3 linked regions of the Schizosaccharomyces pombe genome follow. The gene in region 1 interacts genetically with each later gene. Each region holds a gene or a part of one and is shown on either strand. Other genes may lie near its edges. The genes, in order: SPOM_SPBC16E9.02C, xap5 and get2.

Region 1 (6,706 bases):
TGAACATGACGCTCGAAAAATGCGACTAAATAAAAACATAAAAAAATTTGGTAGAAATAATTGCATATTTATCCTGTATTTGATAATGTTTCAATTGTTTTAAATTCGCGACGTGATACTTTAGATCTACACTATCAAACTCGTCAAGATCGGCGTTTGTGAGGTGGTTTGTTATTACTTCAACCTTAATGATACCATTATAGTAAATCGCGAGACATCATAATAAAGAGGATTTACAAAGTTGCAAGCAGATGTTCGACAAAATCAATGGTCAAGAGTCCATAATTGCAAAATAAAAAAATAGAATTCACATTTTCCGATTTTCCGCTGTTTTTAGTGTGTGTGACGACTTCTAAGCATATATCACTTCATATTATTATTAAACAAATTTCTTAGCTTATCGAAACTTAGGAAGCAGAGAGTGCCGCTTCATTTTTTTCCACTGTCATTTATGGCGCTAACCGAAATTCCCATGAATTGCTCGATTTATTCCTTTCCTTATGACATTAACCGGTACCATCACTTTCAAGATAACATTACTAGCGAACGCAATTTGAAGCATACGATATAAGAATCATCACCCAATGTATGAAATCATTTCTTATGAACCTTCAGAAACGTTGGAAAGGTATAGTAACGGATAGCTCGGTTGGCGCATGAAATTTAGCTATCAAACTTACGGCATGTAATGGAGTTGAATCGTTCCAATATACGGATTCAAATATTGTGCATAATACAGAGAAGAAAATTTTCTCTAAGATTGCGACGTTAGCACCGCTGTAGAAAGACCTTCCAAATGAATTTGCGTTAATAATTGTATTGCCAGCCAAGATTGTGAGAGATTCATCTGTAATGTCTAGTATTAAACATTACAAAAACTTCACTAACTAGGAAAAAAAAAAGATGTTTTTTTTTTTTCTATAATCAATTTGCTCGTTCGCCAAAGAATGATGATCGCACACTAAGCGCATCGTTTGTTGAGCTCCATACATCTAAGAAAGGAAAGACCTGTATTTGTCTTAAAAAAGGAATTTGTAAAGAGCTATCGAATACAGAAATTGTCGTGGTACCAAAAAAATCGACTTAATGAAACACGCAATGCATAAAAATATTTCGCGCATTCTTTGTTTTTATGAATTTTTGTGGATTCCTTTTCAATTCGTAAAGTTTAGAAAGTTCTCTTCTATATCTGTAGTAAACACAAGAGCATCAAACCAATTGAGACAAACATTACCGATTGTTCACATTCAGACCGTTAAAAACAGATCTCCTTAACCAATTCTAAAATAACAACTGTTAAATCACCATTTTTTTCATTGTCATCAGTCCATGGAACGTGAAGCCCTAAACAGACACGGGGGATTCGAACATCGGGGCGAACGAGCATCTGTTGGCGGGCTAGTAAAGAACCAACCTGGCCTGCTGTAATTTGTGCCCAATGTGATTTAATGTCGTCTTCTCCTCCACCTCCTAGTAGAGTCCTCACACCGATTTCTGGCAAAGTAGACATGTCACCGGTTATTGACACCGGAGACATTACGCTCTTTTCATAAGTCATCATATACTAATTTTAAATTTGTCAGCTCTTTAATAATTATACTGTAAAAAAAAATTGCTTATGAATCATAGATGTCCTCTGACTTTCTCTCCCTGTCCTTCCTATTCCATTACATCGAGGCACCCGACCTTTTGACAAAGTATCAAATTTAAAATAATTATCGTATATTTCCATTTAGTTACGGTAGGATCTTATATCTGATAAATTCATATCTGACTGAATTAGGTTGCTTCTTACCATTTGACCTATTTTTCCAGATATTGTAACCAAAATCGTGATTTGGTTGGAAAATCGCATTGAAATTGCTTGAATTTCTTTCCCGTTATAATTTTTTGATGTCTGCTTTATCTTAGGAAACATGATATCTTCTAAAAGCTTGGATTACACAAGGTTCCTTCCTTTTTTTGCCGCTTTGGTTCGTGGACATTGTCTGACCGTCAAGAGCCCAACCCATAATTGTGGAAGCGGTGTTAAAACGATAATGGATAAATCATCCATTTTTTTAAAAAACAGATATCCAATTTCTATTAATCGTTTTGTTCAGCAAAGAAAAACTTTTTGTGGGGCTAGCGTTTGCCTGCATAAAGTTCTCGTTCAGCGACAATTCGGGTTTGAAGAAAAATCTCATGGGTTGAAGTATAAAAAATTATTTAGGAGGAACATAGGTACATCAGAAAAAAAAAATCGACTTCCCGATTTGCTTGAATTATCTTCCTCACCAAGGAGACTGCCGATCCTTTTTGCTGCTTTTTGTTTACTGTGGGGAACATGTGCTGTATTGGCTATCCAGTACGGAAAGCAAAACTCCAATGTAACTCAAGTAGTTATGTATCGTGTGCAGCATTCAAAAGAAGCTCAAGATCTATTGGGTTCAAACATCGATTTTAAATACCCCTTTCCATGGGTTCCAGGAAAACTTCATAAACGTCAAGGGTTTATTGATATCAATTTCGAGGTTTCAGGATCTCTTGCTTCTGGAACTGTTCACTACCAAAGTCAGCGCTTTGGACCTATAGCCCACTGGGTAGAGTTAGATTGTACTTTGACAAGCAACGGAAAAACAATCAAAATTCCTACGGGTGTATCTAAAGATACTCAATGGACTTAAAATTTTAAATAAGGAACCAACTTTCATGTTTTTATGTTATAATCGCTTTGTTTACGTCCAAACTTTTAAACTAATGATGGCTGTTTTCTTTCCTATTTAATGGATTATCATTTTGATTTACTACTATGTTTACCAGTGTATATTTACACTTCAAAAACCACACCCGTATAATGATTTTCCTTCTTTACTTTCTTCCTTCAATTCCAACATGAGTGTGCTATATAGTACAAGACTGAATATGTATCAATATAGTGATATTATTGGGTATTTTATAAATAGATATCTCTATAATTTATTACCGAGTCATATATAAATACGCAAGGGATTGTAAGAGATAAGACGTATACCCTCAGTAAGAAGCAGTACGCCTCGTTGTTCATTCAAATTCATCACCGCGTCCGTTTCTTATATTTCGAAAGAACCATTCCTTTTTCTTATATCCTTTTAATTAATATACTTGTACATACCCGGTATTCTCTACTTCGAGTCCTTGAGATCATCATTCATTCCTTGCTTGTTGATTTTTTTATTTGCGAGTTTCGCTTTGTTCGTTAGATAATTAAACATTCAAAACGAATGAGATTTCAGTATGGCCTCTGAACAGTCTAATCCAAGACTACCTCGACGACCGCCTTATATGGCTGAGAAAGCGCGTGCGACTCTTAAAGAAGCATTTCCTAATACCGACGTATGTAATTCAGATTAGTCTGCATGTTACCAAAACTCTCTAAGTTTACTTTCATTGCTACATATCTAACATATATTTATCTATAGGATGCAATTATTCGAGCAGTCCTAGCAGCTAGCGGATATAAGTTAGAGCCTGCTTTCAACGCATTGCTTGGTAAGTATTAGGCTACACATATATTTCGTGTCTTTGGGGATGTACTGTGAACGATCTGTAATGTGCTATTCACTTTGTTTTTGAAGCTTTACCTTATTGATTTCATTTGATATCTTAAAGTGTGGCTCATAGTTCGCGTTTGTTTGCTCCCTAAAGAATATCGTGCTTGAAAAGTTTTATGAATGCAATAGTCAACGTTCATTTCTAACCATAATAGGTTTGAGTGATCCTCAAGTTGCTGAAGAAATGGAACAAGCTGAAACTTCTTATGCTTATGACACAGCCGCACATGACGATCCAGTGCAACGACAGCTTGAGGAAGACGAGAGATGTGCCAGAGAGCTTGCTAATCGTTACAACAGCCATCGTCCAGAACGTAGGCGCAAAACAAACAATGATCGTAGGAATTACCCTCCGCAAAACCGTACAGCAAAGCCCAATGACAACGATGGAGATGATTATTCGTTTTTTGAAGACGATCTTCCAGTCATCAAAGATACATTTATGCGTGGATTCCAATCATTTAAGCAAAGAAGTATGGAATGGGTGGAGAATATCGCTTCCAAATTTGATGGTGAGGAAGAAGACGATGATGATGAAAAGTATTCTGCACCTTCTAAAATTTATCCTTCTCCAAGAAGATCTACTGCTGCTACTTTGGAATCCGCATATGAAGAACGACCACCTTCGTTACCACGTCGTAAACCCTCTCGACCAGGAACAGCCATTACGCTTCCCCCATATGAATCTGATCCACACATGCTGAATGAGAAAGATTTTGAGAGACTTCGCTTAGAATCATCTTCATCTCCAATGATGAGGCGATCTTCATTGAACTCCAACCGTCGCTCCGTAGAATCAAGTTCTTCAGCCGCCTTTGTGGAGGGACAATCCTTCATTTTGGATAGCAATGGTGCGATTGAAGTCGCTAATTCTGCTTTTGCTCTCGATGATAGTGATCTTGAATCAGCTTACAATGAAGAGTTAGAGATGAAAAAAGACACAAGTAAGCCTACTGCAAGCACTAAGGAAGTTGTAGTGGAAAAAAAACCCGACGAGTCACGAAAGCAAGCCGCTCGCACGCTTGAGACCGTATCAGAAGAACAAATGGGATCATCCAATGCTAAATCCAAGGTACTAACATCTGAGCCAAAGGACTCTACCTCTGTTGAAGCCGAAAAAACCGAAACTGATGAGCCTGCTGTTGGTAAAGGAGCATCCGATGTGTCTGATACAGCTGAAATTTCTGAGAAAACTGAAGCCAAGAATGCTGATTCGGAAGCCAATTTAGAAGAGAAATCTGACGTTGGGGAAGAAAAGGAGAGTAAGGACGAAAATAACAAAGCTAGTCTTCATAAGGATGTTGAGGAGAAAGATACAAAGATAACAAATGAAGACACTGGTAAAACGGAGACCGATGTCAAAGCCAAGGAGACTGATAGTATAGAGGCCAATGACAAGGATGAAAAGACCGATAGCAAAGAAACTGAGGACAAGGTCGAAGAAACTGAAAGTAAAGAGGCCGATGTCAAGGCTAAGGAGACTGATAGTATAGAGGTCGATGACAAGGAGGAAAAGACCGATAGCAAAGAAACTGCGGACAAAGTCGAACAGACTGACAGTAAGGACACTAACGAGAAGCCTGCGAAGGATGATAATAAAGAGGCAAATGAAAAGGCTGAAAAAGTTGACAGCAAAGATGTTAAGGAAAAGATCGAGGAGGCTGCTGATCTACAAAATTCGGGAAAAGAGACTTAAGGGAAAGAACAACAAGGCACATCATGATAGGTTCAAGAGTTGTAATCAGCTAATGGTACTATATATGCCTTGAGTATTCAGGGTACGAGTAGCTTGAAGATTTAAATTTTGCTATTTTCGGTGTTCCTCAGCTTTACAGTAAATGTTTTAGCGCTGTTTCGATTTTTCTTATAAGTAATGTTTTTTCGAGCTCTTTTGTTTCATATTTTTATAATTGAATTATTAATAATCAATTAAATTTTTCACGACAATCGCAATCCCGTTGATGAATTTGCAAAGTAACTTTAATTTAAGATTGTGCTTGAAGTTTTATCGAAACCATTTGGATAAACTGAGTAGCTAAGTATCCATACATTCACTCCATCCTTGCGTGCATAGCAACCTTTATTCTTTTTACCACTACTGTACATGAGACATATGATGCTTACAAAAAAATGATATTCATTGAGAAGGCACGAAACAACGTGAATTATTAAAACAACGTATTTTAACTACAACAATAACTGAATACAACATAAATCAAACTAAAAAATGATATAAAATATAAAAACTGTACGTAGCATTCGGTCATCACGAGCCATGGCACGAAGCAACGACTTCACGATGGTTTTAAGCTATGCTGTCGGTCTCCCCGACATAATCTATACCGATTCCATGAAGAGGAAAAAGCTGCAACCATTAATACGGTTCTATATTATAACCGCGTTAGAAGAGAGCAGACTTTTTGACATCAGTAATTCATTATTTTGTGAGATGAAGCTTTGTTTTAACTCACTCACATTTCTTATATACTAGGAGTCAAAAAACAGTCACATGTGTTAGTGCACTTTCGTTTCATCTCATTATATCAAAAATATAAACAAATGTTAAATAATCTTCAAAGGACGGTATGACATGAGAAAAGCAGTGAGTCAGAACATTAATTTAACTCCAAAAAAGTAACATGGATAAGCATTACTATGATAGTTGGTGTGCCGAATGATTGTAGTATTACATAGCCAGAGCCCAGAGTTTATTAGGTCGATCGGTTTTAATCAGATGATGTCCACCATACCCGCGTTTTTTAATTGGTTCTGTAACTGAAATGATGGGTATTGAGAATGTATGTCAACAGCGCCTCTAAGCCGACCTGTTCACTAATCCGTTTTTTCCCGAAAATTGAGTCTTTAAAGATATAACGAGGTGTTGCATACCGGGTTAACAGTACAATCATCGAACCACACGGCACTTAGATCAGATATAATTTAATCGTATCTCTTTATCAGATTAAAACAAACCACCAACGACAAACGTTTGAAAAAGTGAGATTTTTAAGCTTGGTCAGTAGAGGCATTGGAGTATTGGAAAATAAAGATTTATATATTTTGCTAAAAGTGTAGTTCTGTACTTGATATCTCCTATCCCCCCAACTTTTTTTTTGCTCATGGAATCGTCTAAA
Region 2 (5,515 bases), on another chromosome or scaffold:
AAGAATAAGGAGGGTTCATCTTGGATTAATTGCCAAATGCATAAATCAAATTAAACACATTACTCATAAACTAATGACTTAGTTAGCGTGTAATTGTTTCAATGCGAGATCTGACTATTCAAACAAAATAAAATAGCAACGATCGAGCAAGTTTCTTACCATATACTAAACTGTAGAACAATGTCCAAGTTAAAACATAAGAAGGTGCGCCATCTAATATTTTAGCGATCCAAAACTTATATCCGGGCTGGTAATACTTAGTTAAGTTACCACGCATTTTCAATGCAAAGAGTAGAAAGGAGACGAAGAAGTAACCGAGTACATACAGAGCAAGCCCTTCATATGAAGTTAAACCCAAAATACCAGCTGCGCACCCGAAAAAACTAGAAGTCAAGTTTCGAACAAAAGAAACGACCTTTGGATTCATTAGCACTCAATTATAAAATCCTTAAAAAAACTAGTACCAAGAAAATCTAGCTCTGCAATCATTTCTTACCTGTTCATTATATGCAACATTTTCTACAACAATTGGAGCGACGCCTTTATCCCTTTCCATATTAGCTTATGAACAATTCTGATGTTTAGTTGAGTTCACCGCTTGTAGAATTATAACCAAAAAATGATGGATAACGCATCTTTATACTGCGGTATTAACTACATAAGGACTTAGTAGGAACGTAATTTTTTCGCAGCTTGACGTATCCTTAAAAGCATTTTGCAAACTGCGTAATTGCCAATCTTTCATGTAAAGCTACAAGCGATATGGATATGGGAAAAAGCATTACTTTTTGCTTGGGCTGAATGTTGGCTAGTTTGGAGGGTGAAATAGTTTATTCAATACAATTGAGTACTTTATTTTTTTCCATTTGATTTTTTTGAACAGAAATGGGCTAATTACTAGGATATTGGGAAATCGCATTGTTTAAAAGAGGTTCTCGTTTTACATCAAGGTCGATTTTTCATATTTATTTGTTTTAGAAAAAAGTATCATCTTATATTTCCTGTATTACTGGTTTTCTAATTCTAAAACTTGAAAATGGTGGATGAAACGTTACATACTAGATTGTTTACAGTATACCGAAAGGATTAGAGACTCGTGAACATTCGTAAAAGCGACATGCTTATACTTCCAAGAGAACGAAAAGCGAATTTCATTTCTTATTTACAATAGAATAGTTATTCTCATCATTCAGTCACGATCACTTTTTTCTTTACCAAAAATTGTATACCTAAATAGCACAGTATAATCCACCGCAAATTAACGTATCGTTAATATGTTTATGATCAAATACTATGTATTTGCATACCAACGCTGCGATACATTAAATAAAAACAAGCAGAAATATGAGAATTCAATAATAAAGGAAACATTTAATAATTCCAAAAGCGAATTGCTAATTTTTTAATTACTTTATTTTACAATATCCTATAGCACATCAATGAAATCAAGGTTTTCAGTCAAGGTTGGAGTGATGTTGAGAGTAGTAAGTGTAAATACTAAAACCCATTGCGAATACTTAGTGGATAATATCTGTTTCTTTTTTACCAAAGTCTCTCTCTTTGTATAGCTTATCAAGTTATATGTTTGGCGCAATTCATTTGTTTAAAATACAAACATAAAAACAATATAGTTGTAATGAAATTGTTATTAAATTAGTCGATGAGGGAAGTATGAGTATGCAAAACAAAAATAAAGAACCAAGAGAAAAAAAATCGAAAACTTTTTAAAAGGCATTATGAGGGCCGGTAAAATAATGCAGCGTTAGGATCAGTTGCATGCTTTTCCAATGAATAATCTTTTCGAGAATCAAAGACTTCCCAATGCACACATGGAAACACATGGCGATTTTGTAAATAATATGATTTTTGAACTAGATGAGGAATGCATTGAGAAGGAAGTTGTGTAGTTGCAACCATTTCTGGACTAGAGCATGACAGCTTATCAAAGTCAAATAAAAGTCCATCACGTCCTTGAACTTTATTAATGTAAAAGTAGTAAAGCTCATGGTGATGGGGAATGATTAAATCAGATTGAACCAGTAAAAATTTATCCATATCCAGAATCCTCTTCAAAAATGGGATTTGCTGTTTCATATCAGCAAGAAAGTGTCCAACCGAATCTTTCAATCTAGTCCTTACATGATAAGTGGTACTTGTTCCATCGTAATAGATAAATGGTATCAAAATCTCTTTTTCCCGAATTTGCTCCTGCTCTTTTAGCCATTGTTTGCGATATTCGGCTCGCTTCGCGTTTTCACGTATTTCTCGCTCTGCATCTGGCAAAAAGGAGGTATCCGCAGATGGATCCTTTCCCATAAACATTTTTTTCTCAACTTTTTTTAAAGGTAGATCATCATTCTCCAGTTCTTCATCTTCACCAAAAGAAAGTTTTCCTTTGTTAACTTTAATGCCCTGTTTGACCTTTTTGCTTAAAGCATCTTTTCTCTTTTTTCTAAAATTGAATTGTCAGTCATATTTAGAATACTATCGGGCTTTTCTCGTTCTTTTCACTTACATTTTAGTACTTGTGGTTGATAGCGCATGTTTCTCTCGTTTTTCAACGATGTTTTGTTTTACTCTTTGATAATCCTTTAAATGGACTAAACCAGTCGTACTATTTCGTAAAATCTCATGAATTTCATCGGCATCAGTATGGCCGCTCATTGTATGAAGAATTCAAAAAAACGTGAGTGGTGAGCGTTCTTCCAAATAAGCTTGAATACCCAAAATACCCTTTTTTTGCCTCGGTTTTCAAATCTCAAAATGAAAGAAATGACTATTACTATATTTATCGTAGAAGAAGAACATGTTTTTTACATTTACCTATGAGGGATCCTAGAATAAACGCACACTTTGCCAAAGTCACGTTGCATATAAGTTTTTTATATTTGTCAAAACGGTTATTAAATAGAATAACAACGAGGTGGGGCACTTTGAAGCATTCTGTAATCTTTAACTGCTTGTATAGACACTTTTTAAAACCAATCTAGAGACAAATAAAACGAATTACTCGTTTGTATTAACAAGCTTTGGAAAAATAGCAATAGATTAAAAACAAAAAAAAAACTAGCTAATCACTAGTGTTGCTATAAATACTCTAATAAATTTTCGTATCTGGTCATTGAATGCAAAACCATCTTTCGAATGCCAATATATAAAGTCATTAAAGTGATCCTAAAAAATCATCATTATCCAATGTTCATCAAATTCATTTTAATTTGTCCACTTCGCATCGCTAATAAATATGAAGCTCGCTGGTATACTGTCAGATAAAATAAAAAGAAAATTTTCAAGAGCTGTCCCCTTTGAATATACGTGGCATATGCTTTCCACGAAATTGCTCAATTGAATTGGCAATACCAAAGTTTCGGCCAGTTTCCACTACTAAAAAGCAAGCAAGATCCTCACTACTCCAGTAACTGCTATGAGCCGAAAGCATAGAAAGATATTTGTTTGAAATGACCCCATGGGCACTCGTAAATACGTAGTCCAACTGAGAGTTTTCATTCAACTCTTGCATGCGCCACTTGGCCCTTTCTTCTCTGCGAAAATTGCGAGTCTCTAACTCGACAGTCTGTTCAGGCTCCAGTGGGACCACTGCTGTGGGCTCATTGTTTTTATTTTGCTGCAAAGATTGATTGTAACTTCGAAGTTCCACAGGATCAGTATTAGAATGTGAGATCATTCTCAAAATACTTGAAGATTTTCTTGTGAACAGTATACGAGTTGGGTGGATGCCTTTCGAAAATGAGAGATCCACTGTGGGATTTAATCGCATCGCAACGGCTAATTTGTTAGTAAATACGATAATTTAATGATGCGCTTACGATCAAGGTGATTATAGATGTTATAAAAAGAGTCGACTGCGAGACATCCGTACCGATCATAACCATCGTAAGTATATGACTTTGGAACATCAGAATTTATAAAGTTTTTATTTATTTCGTATCTTGATGAGCCTCTTCCACGACGAGGAATAATACTTTGTTGATTCAAATGCAAAAAAAAACCTACCGGACCACCAAAACAAAAAAAACCGTTTGTGTCGAATATAAAGCAGCTTTCATCATCGTCTATAGTAATTTCTTTGACAAAAGTGGGTTGAAGTGACAAAATATCAAAAACAACTGTGGAGCCCAAAGAATGCCCAATTATAAAGATACGGCCCTTGTTTTCTAAAAAGTAAGGATTGCAGTCCTTCCACAAATGGTAAACCCTATTAGCTTCACGAATTACAGACTTTATAATGGATTCTTTGTGATGAGACATATAATAGGGAATATCACTCATCACATCTCCTAATAACCTTCGCACCGCTGGAATGCTATCAATTTCAATATCCTCAATTGAAAATCGATTTTCTTCAAATTCTTCATCCTCAACCCGTCCTTCATCACCGGCAACTGGCTTTATATATGAATTAAAATTAAGCTTATTTCTCCAACATATCGGAAGAAGTTGTGGTTCATAATCGTTTCGAATCAACGGATCCTCTTTCATTATGTTTTTCTGAATTTGGATCAATGAACGAAAAACGTTGCACGTCTTGGTAAATAAGAATCGTTCCTCTATATTGTCAACATTAGTAATTGAATGCCGGTGTAAGATAAAAAAAAATCAAGTTTACTTACCAGTCTCTGATCTTTTTTGACCGATACCATGAACCACCAAAAAAAGATCTGTAACTTGTTTAGGTCCATTAAAACCATCATCTTCAAAGTAAGGAAAATCTCGAACGACCGGCATACCTTTAATACTGGTCCTTCGAGATTGAGTCCCTTTTGAAAAATAGGATAACAAACCTCCTTGACAAATGAGTGCTCTATATCCGTCTTCGTAAAATACATATTTGCCAGAGGAGGTAGGTTTAAGAGGCCATTGCATCGCATCAATTAATTCCTTAGAGGACTTGTTACGTTTATGAGACAATACAGAAGGATCATCTTGAGAATCCTTCCCTTCTTCTTCTTCTTTTAAAACATTATCCCAGTTAACGGCGTATGGCTTCACTTCCTGGTAGCCCTCTTCTAACATATCCGACAATTCATTGATTACAGGAAGACCCGTATCTTCGTACATCCAAAGACCGCGAACGACTCGTAAGGTATCATTTTTACTGGCACTTGGCCAGTATAGAGGCTTTAAAGTAAGAGTAGGTAAGTTTACCACATGAAGCCCAGAAATTCCAACAATGACCTGCTCGTTAGTTAAGCTCACATATAGATTAAAAAATTAGTTACATTCTTCTGATTTGGCTCTTGAGACACCTCCTCTGTAATAATTTCATTGTATTTTGCTTCTAAAGCGTTATTATCGTAGTTCAAAAACCGCCTCCAGGACTGCGCCCCAGTCAACTCCATAGAAGAAGTCTCATCGTAGAGGTCGTAATTGGATAGGTAAAACCACTGAACATAGTGCACAGGCTCCTCCTGGGATGATTCTTGCATATATCTCGGTGTTGGGGGTCGCGTTCTGTTTGATCAAAATGTAAACAGTTCTACAAAGAATAGCGTAC
Region 3 (5,490 bases), on another chromosome or scaffold:
TGCTACTATAATTTTATGCTTACCCTACCCTAAACTCTAGCAAAAAGTCCTTTAATTGAATTAAGTCCGTAGCTGCTGGAATCTACCAAGCACTCCATTAAGTTGGCTTGTCGTCACACTATTTGTGAGAATTCAATGAAGACGGGACAATTAGTCTGAGTGCTTATATTAAAGGACGATTTAATCCAGTTTTTGGGTTGGTCATGGTTCGGGGCCAGGGACTATATGTTAACATGTAGAAGTCATCAAGTCTTAAGCTCTAGCTTTTCTATGTCTAGATATTCTTTATCTTAAGTTTGGATGACTTATTTAGGCCTATATTTTTTGTATTGTTTAGTCGTTGTAAAAGAAGAGTAGCTTTTTGTATAGTTTGACTTAATTGAACAGTTTTATTTGCATGGATTTGCATAGTTTTCGTAAATGGCTTTAATTTTTCTTTATACATATCCAATGTAGAGGTTTTAGAAGTATTAGAATCTTCTGTATTCAGTTTCTTTTGGAACGAGAAATCGTTGGAGTCTGAAAAATTATCATGGGATATCTTTAAGCCTTTCTTCAAATAAGGGTGAAGCTAAGAAAATATTAGTGATTGCTTGATTATTTACATAACTGAAACAATGGAAAACTCATTTTGTGTCATATGTTAAGATGAAGTCTTGAATAAAACATTCGCCTGTTCGTGTTTTAAACTTACTTTAGATTTTAAATCGGCAAGCCGTGAATTATTTATGGCCATGTTTTGTTTCATTTCTTCGTAAGATTTCTGTTCATTCTCCAAACGAGCAGTTTCAACCTTCAATTCCTGTTGAAGTACGTTAATATGGTCCAAATCACTGTATAATTGCTGTTCCAATTGCATCTAAAAATGTTAGTCATATCTCTTTCGTATGTATGCGTATCAAGACTTAATAACTTACATTCGAAGAAAGTAATTGAGAGAACAGTATTGACTCTTTTCTTTTCCTTGGTACAGGCAAATTTCTCAGAGGAGCTTCGATTTTTAAAAGTATATTCATGAACCATTCCTCGGCCAAAGATTTTCTTGTTTCTGATTTTATTGTATTCAAAACCAATCTGTTACGATAGCACAGTTAGCATACGTACACATAATGACTAAAAAAATTTGGAAAAGTACTTAAAAGACTTTTCCAGGTAAACATCAACAGCAAACTTTGATTTCCCTTTCAGTACACAAGTAAGCGCTAAAAAGCACAAGCACTTTTAGCAATAACATGATTCTCAATTACTTACCTTGAACACGTCCTAAAAATAATTATTATTTCTTGGCGCTGCTTATCCTCTAATGGACGCCATCTTTTTTGAATTTGGTCTCGACGCACCGCGCGAACGCGCCTTTTCATTTCCATTGCATATATTTATAAAAATGGTGCTACCACTTCAATTTTCTTTTAAGCAATCTGGAACTTAAATAGCAAAATATGTACGTATGGTTTTATATGAAAAATTTCTCTATAACAAGAATTCGCCGTTTCAACGTTTGCATGCTGTTGTAGCGCTTCGGACGAAGTTGTTTTACATATATACAGTCAACCAAGCCAATTCTCAATTACTTATTTTATTTCAATAATAAGTTGATAAAAGATTTTAAAAATCATAGTTATAATGTTTTCACAGCTATCCCAGAAATTACTTTAAGTAGTCTGTTTTTAATTAATACTACAATTACAATAAACAGAGCTTTTTAAATCATATACTATTGCTACCATTGAATTAAAAGAGAAAATAAATAAAACGTACCGACAATCGTAAATATGGCATGTGTTGCAAAGCAGTTCAAATGAAGTGCAGTATGTTTTAGAATATAAATCGTTTAGATGTTGAAAAGATAATATAAAATTGAATTCCTAAGGGTTTGAAAAGTCTTTCTCGCTTAATCAGTTAGTTTATTTCATCTAAACAAAAATTGAATGCTAATTAATCGATCACCAATTTGCGAAGCAAAACCAAGATTCATAAATAGTAAATGCTGAAAATTAACAACTATTAATACACCAACGACGGATAAAAATAGCAACATAAACCTAACGCAAATATTGTCATACACGCATCTGTAATCAATTGTGTGAAATACGGAACATAACTTGTTGTATGACGGATCATTGCTCCATAGGGAGGGGGAAGCTGAGAGGCCAGAGATGCTAGAAGAGAATAAGAAGGTCCATTATTACGGTCCAAAACAAATTGAATAGAGAACAAGCAAGCTTCGACAGTAAATGTCCACGGAAGTAATGGCTGAAATAAATATATTAGTATGCAAAAAAACAATTTCAAAAAAGGAAGATGAGGACTTACCAAATGTTTAAAATAACAAACAATCACTACTATAGAAATTGCCAAAAGATGAGCATATTTCTCAACTAAGTTTTTTAAAGGAGCTGTAGCTTGAGGAATTTGTTCGTTTTCACCTTGAAAATTTGTATCAGATCCCTCCTTTGCGGATTGTAACATAGCTTGAAAAAAATTTGCAAAATCAGGGTTTTGATTAAACATGTTTTCAGGTGGTACATTATATGGAGAATCACACTGAAGTTTAAAAGGCGAACTTTCCAAATTATGGTAATCTTGGGAAGGAAGATATTCCACTTGATCAGCATTGAAGGTATCATCTCTCTTTTCCATGAATCCTGAAGACATTGGCGTTACTGGTGTTGCAGTTTCAGAATGTACAGCTTCCTCGGAAGCTGTAGCTCGAACATCGGATTGACTGTCATCTGAATTCTGTCCCAAAATTTGATTGATTCTAGATGCACCTCCTTGTTTGATTTTATTCAGTCGACGTTCACGTCTAAGTCGAGCTTGTTCACTGGCAGTCGACATGTTCGAAGTCTTTGAATCAGCAGAAAACAGAATAAAATAAATAATTAACACCAAACTTTTTTACAGATATATATTTTTATCAATATTATATTGGGAAAAAATCAATAATGCTCACTTGAACAACTTTCCAATATACGAGGGGTTTGGGGTGAGAGAAAATAGTGATGCATAAGTGTTAGAAGAATACTGAATTCCTACAGCTGTTATGTTTGATAAGAATCATACATGTTAGCCTTATATTATAAAAAGGAAAATTTAATTATAAAATTGGTTGAAATTGCCATATCAATTGCATTTTGCTAATTCGTGTTTTTTGGGAAACTACAAAAAACTAAAGAACAGACACATATTTTCATTACAGACTAGCGAAAAATTAAACAAAAAAATTTCCGTTCATTAATTCAGATACAAAAAGGAGTAGTATCACCAGCAACAGCTTTGTGGTAGCACCTTATTCAATAGACATACATGCAAAATCCAGTAGATTATAGGATAGTCCCAGCTAAAGTCTTTCATTTTGCGATACTTTTAACGAAAAAAAATAAAGACATCGAATGATTCACCTAAATACGTTGGCAGAAGGAAAATCCGCTTCAAAATTTGATTTAGAATTGAAATGCAAAAGTCATAACTCAAAATAGTAGTAAAATGGTTACTGAAAATTTATTATTCCCTTTTTATATCCTTCTTGGGAGTCCCGGAGTCTTCGCGAAAGGCTGCGACTATATACAAGGCCAAGATAATATTGACCATTACAGCTGCAGATAATCCTGCGTACAATGTTTGATATCCTAAAACAAAATTTATCAGTAAAAATCAAAATTATTCAACAATTAGTATATACCTTTGAATAAAGTCTTCAACGTCCAAAAATAAGTTATAAGTGGTAATGTAAATAATGCGACACTAAAACCCACAAACTTAAGCAGAACATTACTATTACGAAAGTTAGTAAGTTTTCATTTCCAACATATTTAGTTAAGAATATAAAAGGAATAAACAATATAAGAGACCTAAGATTATAGACTGTTGTGGAAGGTTGTATGGAATTTCTTAAAACCAATTCGCAGTCCGGCGTAAAGAAATAAACTAATAATTAATAAACTTACGTAGGTATAGAGTTATTATTTGTATCTGAAACTTGGGATTTCCTTTCCATTTTAAATCACGAATGCAAGTTGTTGATGGTGGTGGAGACCTAATTTATTGGGACCTTGCTTTATAAGAGGTCAAAGTTTTGTCAACATGAAAAGTAGACAATTGATATTCGTATGTTGAAAGTCCCTGAAATTATTTGTCATCTTATTAAAATTTATTATCTTTGTTTATAACATACGGTAGACTTATACGTGCGACCTGCTTAATTTGTGTTTACATATAATAAAATACCTGGGCGACAAAGTCTCCAAATTCATAGTTCCTTGTTGAAATATTAAATTAATTAAATTAAATCGAGTAACAAATGTATGTTAGGGCTTGGTCGATGATCATAAATAAAACTGCAATTTACAAACTCACATTGAATTGTTTAGCAGGCAAGGGTGTATCAAACAGTGGTGATCAAAAAAGCAATACTCAATTACTCCTCTGTTATAACAAGTGATTTCACACCATCCATCTTCACTTGATACAAGCATTGCTATGTTGACGTTTTCATCAGCGGACGAGCGGTATAAAAAAAAGAGCAAATAGATTACTCAATGGGTATATTTTATGCATTAAAATTTACCATTTTAGCTTGAAATCAAACTGTTGAAGTAGATTTTTGAGGTAATAAAAAGCATTTAATATAACGATAAGATCAAGCCTAGGTTATGTAAGCTACGCAGTTTGGTATCTGATTTAAGGATACGTAGAACTGCGGTGAGTTTTCCTTGTGGTCTATTATATTACAATACACAGGTTGTATAAGTAGCAACTGAGTATAGGTATTGTATTAACTGGGTTATAATGTTACCTATCACTAATATAGCTCATAACTGAACTGAGGAACGAGGTTCAGTTGTAACGCTATTTATAATATTTCTAAATAGTTGTTATCAACGGGTATCTATGTATATAGACGGATAGTTACCCGTGATTATCAATAAACGGATCTTAGCTAGTATTCCAACATATGACATATAGTGATACGCAACGTAGTGTAGCATAGCGTAGTGTACTATTCCTGACAGGTTAAAGTATATACGGCATTGCGATAATTACCGTTAAAATCCAGTAAATTTTTTTAATTAACTTAAGACATATCCAGATTTAAAGAGTCCATTATTTTTTTTCTGCGTACTCCCGTAAGAGTCAGGCACGCCCCAAACACGAACCAAACGTGCTACTTCTGATATTTGATATATAAATACAGAAGACTTAATGTGATTTTAAATTAGATGCTTCCTTACAATTCAAATTACTTATCGGACAACGGGAAACGAAAGTTTTCCGACGAAAATCCTCAATCGGAAGTTTATGGTTCTTCGCAAACAGGTTTGCCTTCTTCATACGGAAATCCTCAAAGCTATGGTACGCCCCCTGTCCAACAGTCTTCCGCTATGTACGGGGTGAATAATTCCATGGGTGGTGGAATGTATAATACTTCTGAGAACACTCAATTTATGAATACTGATTATTCGCAAACTTCTTCGTATGCGTCGACTCCAA

Evidence for each region.
Region 2: mutations in SPOM_SPBC16E9.02C (region 1) and xap5 together harm fitness more than expected from each alone (negative genetic interaction), as found in Schizosaccharomyces pombe (one large-scale study listed by BioGRID).
Region 3: mutations in SPOM_SPBC16E9.02C (region 1) and get2 together harm fitness more than expected from each alone (negative genetic interaction), as found in Schizosaccharomyces pombe (one large-scale study listed by BioGRID).

What each region holds. Positions count from the first base shown.
Region 1 is NC_003423.3:1,916,723-1,923,428, reverse strand, and holds SPOM_SPBC16E9.02C (CUE domain protein ), read left to right. Parts: upstream 1-3,080; 5' UTR 3,081-3,255; coding exon 3,256-3,354; intron 3,355-3,362; exon of another isoform or gene 3,363-3,440; coding exon 3,441-3,510; exon of another isoform or gene 3,511-3,727; coding exon 3,728-5,268; 3' UTR 5,269-5,423; downstream 5,424-6,706. Other genes in the region: proteasome assembly chaperone Pac3, read right to left, coding at 1,256-1,564, 1,796-1,918; cytochrome oxidase complex assembly protein coa1, read left to right, coding at 1,917-2,666; CCAAT-binding factor complex repressor Php4, read left to right, coding at 6,692-6,706.
Region 2 is NC_003421.2:752,406-757,920, reverse strand, and holds xap5 (splicing factor, xap-5-like protein), read right to left. Parts: upstream 2,670-5,515; 5' UTR 2,665-2,669; coding exon 2,516-2,664; exon of another isoform or gene 2,453-2,515; coding exon 1,735-2,452; 3' UTR 1,631-1,734; downstream 1-1,630. Other genes in the region: protein Emc6, read right to left, coding at 60-70, 160-415, 497-556; SPOM_SPCC1020.13C (DDHD family phospholipase), read right to left, coding at 3,290-3,786, 3,828-4,568, 4,632-5,196, 5,241-5,447.
Region 3 is NC_003421.2:186,607-192,096, reverse strand, and holds get2 (GET complex subunit Get2), read right to left. Parts: upstream 2,984-5,490; 5' UTR 2,839-2,983; coding exon 2,314-2,838; intron 2,254-2,313; coding exon 2,005-2,253; 3' UTR 1,696-2,004; downstream 1-1,695. Other genes in the region: kinetochore protein fta7, read right to left, coding at 275-571, 695-859, 918-1,074, 1,252-1,367; vacuolar H+-ATPase assembly protein Vma21, read right to left, coding at 3,505-3,629, 3,683-3,774, 3,948-3,997; protein Fft2, read left to right, coding at 5,220-5,490.